Caenorhabditis elegans: one gene and its partner. The protein of the gene in region 1 purifies or fractionates together with the protein of each later gene. This does not show direct contact. Each region holds a gene or a part of one and is shown on either strand. Other genes may lie near its edges.

The links. Proteins that work in one complex are often made in the same cells at the same time.
Region 2: the proteins of srbc-68 (region 1) and famh-136 fractionate together in Caenorhabditis elegans (co-fractionation; one large-scale study listed by BioGRID). This does not show direct contact.

Annotation. Positions count from the first base shown.
Region 1 is NC_003283.11:3,545,136-3,548,173, reverse strand, and holds srbc-68 (G-protein coupled receptors family 1 profile domain-containing protein), read left to right. Parts: upstream 1-1,556; coding exon 1,557-1,731; intron 1,732-1,772; coding exon 1,773-2,230; intron 2,231-2,275; coding exon 2,276-2,497; downstream 2,498-3,038. Other genes in the region: srw-130 (G-protein coupled receptors family 1 profile domain-containing protein), read left to right, coding at 1-15, 663-877, 923-1,064, 1,125-1,205.
Region 2 is NC_003281.10:8,886,045-8,890,647, forward strand, and holds famh-136 (FAM161 homolog famh-136), read left to right. Parts: upstream 1-1,706; 5' UTR 1,707-1,713; coding exon 1,714-1,838; intron 1,839-1,952; coding exon 1,953-2,154; exon of another isoform or gene 2,155-2,371; coding exon of another isoform or gene 2,372-2,649; intron 2,650-2,745; coding exon of another isoform or gene 2,746-2,895; intron 2,896-2,941; coding exon of another isoform or gene 2,942-2,999; exon of another isoform or gene 3,000-3,112; intron 3,113-3,803; coding exon 3,804-3,908; 3' UTR 3,909-4,099; downstream 4,100-4,603. Other genes in the region: putative RING finger protein ZK637.14, read right to left, coding at 2,372-2,649, 2,746-2,895, 2,942-2,999; lnkn-1 (Protein linkin), read left to right, coding at 4,192-4,386, 4,444-4,563. UniProt on the Caenorhabditis elegans protein: May play a role in locomotion and behavior.

The DNA.
Region 1 (3,038 bases):
GCAATGATTTCTCATGTAAGTTTTTTTAAAACTGTAATGGTACCGTGGGTATACTGTATGATTACTGTAGTTTCAGAAATATGAGCTTTCGTTTTTGTAAGAGATATTTGGGGATAGTGTCGGGGTACTGTAGTAGTACTTTAGGGGTACTGTAGGAGTACTATAAGATTACTGTAGTAATTGAGGTTTTGTCTTTTGAAGAGACAGTGCCGAGTTACTGTAATAGTGATGTAGGAGTACTGTAGGAATACTGTAATTCTAGAAATTTGAGTTATTGTTTTTTCAAAAGAATAGTGAGGGATAGTGGCGGGGTACTGTAATGGTACTGTGGAAGTAATGTCGTAATAGGACTACTGTAGCTCTATTTATTTGATTTTTTGTTTTATGAAAAGATAGTGTCGGGTACTGTAGGAGTCCGAAGTGGTACAGTAGGGGTACTGTAGGGACACTCTAGGAGTACTGTAGAATTATTTTAGTTCTAGAAAAATTTAGTTTCTGTTTTTACAAGAGATACTTGGAGATAGTATCGGGGTACTGTAGAAGCTGTAGGATTACTTTAATACTGGAAATTTGAGTTTTTTCATTTGAAGTGATAGTGGGGATAGTGTCAAAGTAGTGAGGGGTTACTGTAAGGGTTACTGTAGATCGCAACAAATTTTCAGATCATTCCTTCGATTCTCTTTCCTATAGTCACATTTTTTCTTGTAAACGTCCTACGAAAAGCTAAAAAATCTCGGAAACTGGTATCCAAGACCGATAGTAATACGAAGTCTACAAAAATCATAATCTATACAGCGATTATTTTTCTAATTGTTGAGCTTCCACTTGGAATCAATCTGGCGATCATTTGGTTTTTCAATAATTCCGTTGGAATCAAGTAAGTTTGACGGCAAAAAATTGGCTGAAACAGCTAGCTTTTCAGGCTGATTCTTGATCAATTTGAAGCTCTTTTTTATATGCTACTTACCGCAAACACAATTTCCCATTTCTTTGTTTGTTTCGTCTTGTCTTCACAATACAGGGCAACACTGATAGATGTAGTGTCGTGCGGGATAAGTTTCCAGGTAGGAATAATTTTGAGCGAATTTGAAAAAGGAGCCGGTATGAACTCAATAAATTTTCAGAAGAACAGAATTGGAAATCTTTGCAAAAGTCGAAAAAGTTCACAACAAAATGTTATAACAGTAAATGCAATATCAATATGATCCATCATCTTTATAAGTCACCAAAGTATTATTTTCCATAAAATGAAGCAGCGTCCGACAAATGGCGGGTTCTGGCTCCCAAGTAATAATAATTTTTCGTCCAGTAATCAAACAATTCCTTCTAACATTGAACTTTTTTATTATTTTAGTTAGAGTAAGAATAAAACCCTATACAACTACTTGTGGTTGTGAAATAACTGCACAACGGAAATTATCTCATATTCTAGTGAGGCTTGTCACAAATGCTATCGATACTATTGTAGAACTTGCTGATAGCTGAGAAACGTCTGAAACCCTACGAAAAGTAACTTCTGTTCACAAAAACATTTTACTATTAAAGAGCCCAGAATAATGTCAACTATTGTTTTTATATATTCCTTTATTACTGTCATAGTCTGTTACTCAAATATTTGCCTAAATTTGATCCTTTTATTAGCAATTTTCTGCTCTAAAAGAGTCACTTTCAAATCTGAATTGTCTCTTTTCTATACAAGATTTGCTGCAGATATTGGATACAGTATTTCTAGTAAGTTTTTGAAAATCTAATTCAATTCAATTTTGATTCAGTTAGTAATTTCAAATTGTACATTTTGGCGGTTATGATTTCGGAAATATTTGCCGTTAAAAATTTCATTTTCATCACACTATGGCTTACTATTATATTTGGAATCATTCGAACAAGTCTATTATTTTTAACTACTTTGGATCGAGTCATTTCTCTATTCTTCCCTTTCTTCTATTGCGCAAACCGTAGCAAACTTCCACTATTTGCCATTTTTATTCTAATTTTTTCCTTGATAATTTTCGATCAAATTATCATGTTCGGATATTGTGGGAATACTATTGATACTCCCATGAACTGCGACCATTTCCGTTGTTCTTTCAATGAGTGCTACAGTATTTATTGGGTAGAGCACGAAAAAATTGTATTCAGTATGATCGTCGTTTTGACAGTATTGCAATTAGGGAAACTTGTTGTTTACACTGTTCTTGCACAGAACCAATCGGCTCAAGTTTATTCAAGAGTAAGGTGCTGTACCTTTAAAATATAAGCAATTCATAAATTTAAGGCTACCCAAATAGCTATGCTTGACTCAACAACTCTTATTTTATTCAATCTTGTTCCGGTCATGTCTACTTTTTGGTTTGAATCAGCTGATTATGAAACGTATTCGTCGTTTGCAACTCTCTCTAGAAATCTTGGATTTTTAATCAACACATTGATCATTTTTCGAATATTCATGAGAGATAAAAATAATACAGTGACAGCATTAACATCACCCAATTCTTAAGAACTTAATTTTTTTAAAATAAATGAATAAAATTGCTTCAAACTATTGCTTTTGGTTTTTTAGTAAATGTGTAAAGAATTGTACGTTGAAGGTCGCATAAAAAACTACCTTCAAATTATTAATTAATCCTATTTTTATCGACTGACGTTCTTGTTGTTTTTTTTAATTTTTATATTAACACATTAACACAAAAGATAAATTATCCAATTTGATAAAAATGAAATCCCGGCAGCGTCGTTTGAGTAATGTTTTTGCCTAGCCTGTCTGCACTTCATTTTAAAAATGCAATTATTATTGGTTTTATAGTAACAATGAAACGCATTCATATTTAATGCACTTTCTGTTCTTGGCCTGTACAATTAAGCTATTAGACAACTGCGTGAAAGGTATCTGCTGAACGGAAATTAACTAATATATTATTTACACAAAAGTTGAGTATTATTATCTTTTTGTCCCTAACAATAACATTATGTTTCCTATTTTCACAGTCATAACCAGTTACGTAACAGTCTATGAAATCGTGAGAAAAGCTAGATAATTG
Region 2 (4,603 bases), on another chromosome or scaffold:
TAAACGTTTCCGGTCGGGTCGTGACAAAGTCAAAAACATTGGTAATTGAACAAAACATTCCAATTTCAAAATGTTTTTATGGCTGCAGTTATTCAATAGAATACTCAATAATATATTTCGCTAAAAAATAATTGGAAATGTAATTTTTATTCAAATAATTTTTTTCAACAAACAAAAAAAATTTATAGTTTTTTTTAAATTTAAAATCACATTTTTCAAAAAATTTGTAAAGCTGTTTGCGGGGAACAGGAGGGAGGTGGGGATTACGAAACAAACATGAAATCGATGTGGTTAAGCCGGGAGACAAAATGACCCAATAATTTGTCCAATGACGTGGATGTGTGACACCAAATTCAGAGCTCAAAGCTTCAAACGGAAAAGAATAAAAACCAGGAGAGTTGCTCCAGATTCAGAGAGAGAAAGACGTCTCCATATATGACTCTACGTCTATTCATAATGCGCACTGTCTCTCTATTTGGCTCAGCTGAGCATCATTGGCTTCGAAGCAGTAGAAGAAAGCCGAGAAATGGAAATGGAGGAGGTTAAGAGAGACAGAACGTGTGAGAAAGAGAGAGCGAGAGGGACAAAAATGAAAAGTAGGCGGTTTAAACAAACAAAGAAAAACACAAGGAATATCGGATCGAAAGGATGCTCCGAGGAGCAATATTCGGGAAAAAAAGGAGCTCCGGTTTCAGAATGTCACTTCTGAATTTGGAAGTGTGACAATTCAAAAGAATTAGTATAACTCAGCGGCCCGATTTTTGTACCAAAAATACGGTCTCGACACGACAAACTTTTGTTAATTGCAATTTAGCTGTAAAATGGTGTGCGCCTTTAAAAGAGTACTGTAATTTCCATTCCCAAGTTGTGAGAAAACAGGAGAAAAACGAATATTTATTAAAACAGGAGAAAAAAGATCAGAAGATTTGAGTATTTTGTTTGAAATAACAACAAGTTGACCAAATTATTTGTTTTTTTAGTTTTCAGAAACAGTTTTGTGAATGCATTTCATGAATGGTTTTTGTGTCAAAGCAACGTTATAATAAAATTTAAAAATAAAATATTTTAATCTCTATTTATTATAACGTATTGATTTTTACAAACACTTTACTATTTATAATACAATTACTTTCTTGATTTTGGGATTTTCTTGAAATTTGCAATATTTTCGCAATATTTTCGGAACGACATTTTGAAATCTCGACATTTCACACAATTTTTGCATGTAAACGTTGTATTTGCCACCGTTTTAATTGATTTCTCTCAATTTTAATTTCAGATTCATCAACTACAGTATACTCGCCTTTGACTTTCAAGCTCATCGAGAAGTGCGCCAGCTTCGCATAATCAAGAAGTGCGTCAGCACTCGACTTGCGCAATTCTTGTCAACTGATATGATTTCTTTTTGTTTTTTGGTTATTTTTTGCGCGTTCTTTGTGCTTTTCGTTTTTTTTTTGTTCGTTGGTTTCTTTCTTTAATGAAACGAAATATTTTATTTTAGTTTAGACTTCCAATATATAGAATAATTAAATTGCATATAACATGACGAAAGGAAGTATAATCTGGGATTATAAATTTTGAGCTTTAGCTATCTTCCTTTATCCTTTAATTCTTGCGTCATTCATAAATGACATATCGTTTACTTTCGAAAATTGATTTTCACATGTCCGTTAACAATAAATAATTTAATTTTATAATACTTTTAGGGTAAATATGTCAAACTCAACGATGGAGGCTACTCAAATGAAAGTAAAGCTGGCTGTCGATGAGATGATTGACGATTTGGATAAGACCTATTTGAGGGATATGCAGAAGAGCATGTTTCAGTGCTCAGCTCGGTAATTATTTTCGAAATTACACTAAATATGTTTAGTAAGCAATTTGTATTACGCTAAACCACCTGAAAATGTCTAATTTAACTTCGCAATTGAAAATTTTTTGCATTATTTCAGGTGCTGTGACAACAAGAAAACCACACGCGATGCTGTCGAGAACTGCGTTGAAAGCTGCAACGATGGCATGAAAAAGGCGCAAGGCTATCTTGAAAAAGAGCTCGGAGGGCTTCAAGACCAGCTCTCACGCTGTGCAATGACTTGCTATGATAAGCTTGTTCAACAGTTTGGTCCAGATGTCAATAAGTATTCAGAATCACAGGTGTGAAGATTTATTAAATTTTAGAAATCAAAAAATTTATAAATTAATTTAGGATTTAAAAAATCAACACCCGAGGGGGCTCATAGCTCACAGCTTTTGGTGGAACATTTTTTTGGAATTAAAACAAAAGTATATACAGTGAAAAGCTAGTTTGGGTTGAAAATTAATTTAGTTTTGTCGAAGAAGAATTTAATAGAAATAAGATTTAAATTATAAATCATCCATACATTGAATCGTGAAGCTCTTCAAGATTTCTCTGTCTCTCCTCCTCCTCAACTTCTTTATCAGTTTTGACCTTCTGACGGCATGTTGGGCAAGTTTGTTGAGCTTCAAGCCATAGAGTGAGACAAAAATAATGAAAGCGATGTTTGCATGGCATGACGATAACTGTGGTTCCGAACGTTGTTGGATCAATTTTTAATTCCTCTTTGATGACATGATCTTCAGGAATATCGACGTTGTTTTGCAAGTTATCCAAACAAATTGCACAGGTTGCTGAAAAATAGATTATTTAGGCAAATAGTCAGCATTTTTTCTGAGTGTTTTTTTTTTCAAATACAAGCTTTGCTCAATTTTAATAGTTTCTCATACCATCTTCTTTCTGTTGATCTGTAGTCTCTCGATCCATCAGTCTCAGCGCTTTATATGATTTTTTGTCAATTGGCAAACTTCCAACATTATACAAATCCAGCCATCTTTGCATCGCATCTGTTTGTGAACCAGTACCTTCCGCTCGCATTCCTTAATTTAATATATAATTTGAATGCTTTCTCATAAAATAACTTACTGACGAAGATGGTTTCGAGCATATGCGAAAAAGCTCTAATAGCGTCTCTTTCCGACATATCTAATTGCCAGATAAAATATTTTAAGAAATGACGAGAGATATGGTGACAAAAGGAAAACGTACTTACGCAAGTGCAACGAAAAACGTGCAATTCGTCGTAACGGTGTTTGCGGATTTTTTGCGTGTCTGTCTCGCACTCTCCATTCTTTCATCACGAGTTTTGATGACTATTTATGCAAATTTCGGGGGTTTATGAATCACCAATCAAGTGCCACGCTGTTCATCGATTTTTAGTTTTGTATTACTTTTGCTATTTTAATAGTTAGACCCTCATAAGATTTGTATCGAGGGGTGTTTTTTTTTTAATGTAACATTATGAAATCTAAAATGATTCATTTTCTTTTCTATTCTTTCTGTCGTCTCTAATTAATGATAATTATCAATTTGGTAGAAATTTAGCGATCGCTAAAGACGCACGGTATTATTCAGAAGGGTCTCGGCGCGGAAAAAAGTTTATGGTAGTTTTTAATATTTTTTGCAGCTGCTTTTCCTTACATTTTTCATTGCAATTACCTCGATTTTAGCAAATTTTGCCTTTTTTTAAAACATTTTCATGTTAAAAATTGTTGTAAACCAGTTTTTTATTAAAAATATGTGTTTTTCTGTTTTTTGGCGTGGAAGAAACAGAAAAGTGAAATATATTTTCTTTACGCGCTGAGCCCCATCTTAATAAATTCCGTGCGCCTTTAGCAAGGCATGGCAAAAATATTTATAAGACACATTTCTGTGATCCTAACGCCTCTGATTTCTCACAAAATTAAAAAAAAATTGATCAAAAATTAAGAAAATCCTCGCATTTCAGAAGCTCAGTTTCAACGAGAAGCTCGATTCGTGTGTCTCTGTTTGTGCTGATGATCACATCAAATTAATTCCGGCAATCAAGAAGAGATTCGCGAAAAATACCTGAGAGCCAGCCACACATTTTCCACCGAGTATTGCCATATCCCCTCTTAATTTCCCATTTATCAAAAAAATATCCCATTTAGGCGTATTCTCCACTCATTAGGCTCCCTCATTGTTGCTCACTATTATATCATTATTTTTCTTTCATACTTTTTTAATAAGTTTTCATGCATTCAGTCATAAAATCTCTATCCCAATTGATTTAAACTCTCCTTAAACGTTTTGACCGTATTTCATACTTTTTCCACCGAACTTATTCTCTTCAAACAAAACAACGTTCAGGTACTATGAAAAAAATATTACCGATCATATGGCTCATCAATTTGGTTAGTGGAAGCCTATCACTCGAGAAAAAAGCTCCCGATTTACTTGGAAAAGTATGTGCATTTGGAGATTTCAATGCAGATCGGAATACTGATATTCTGGTTTTTGCGAATGGAACATTGACGATTAATTATCAAGAAACTAAACTTCTTGATGTGGTTAGTTTTTATTTTTTCTTTTGTTGAAATTTCACATAAAAATTTTGAAATTTTCAGCTCGAAGCTTCCAAATTCACACCAGGAACATCGTTTGCCATCAGTAAACCCAGCCTGAATGCAGATTTTGTTGAATGTTCAGTTGGCGATTTCAATGGAGACTCTAGGCTTGATGTTTTGGTGAGTTTATTGAAAACATTGTCATTTTGCTTCATTGAAC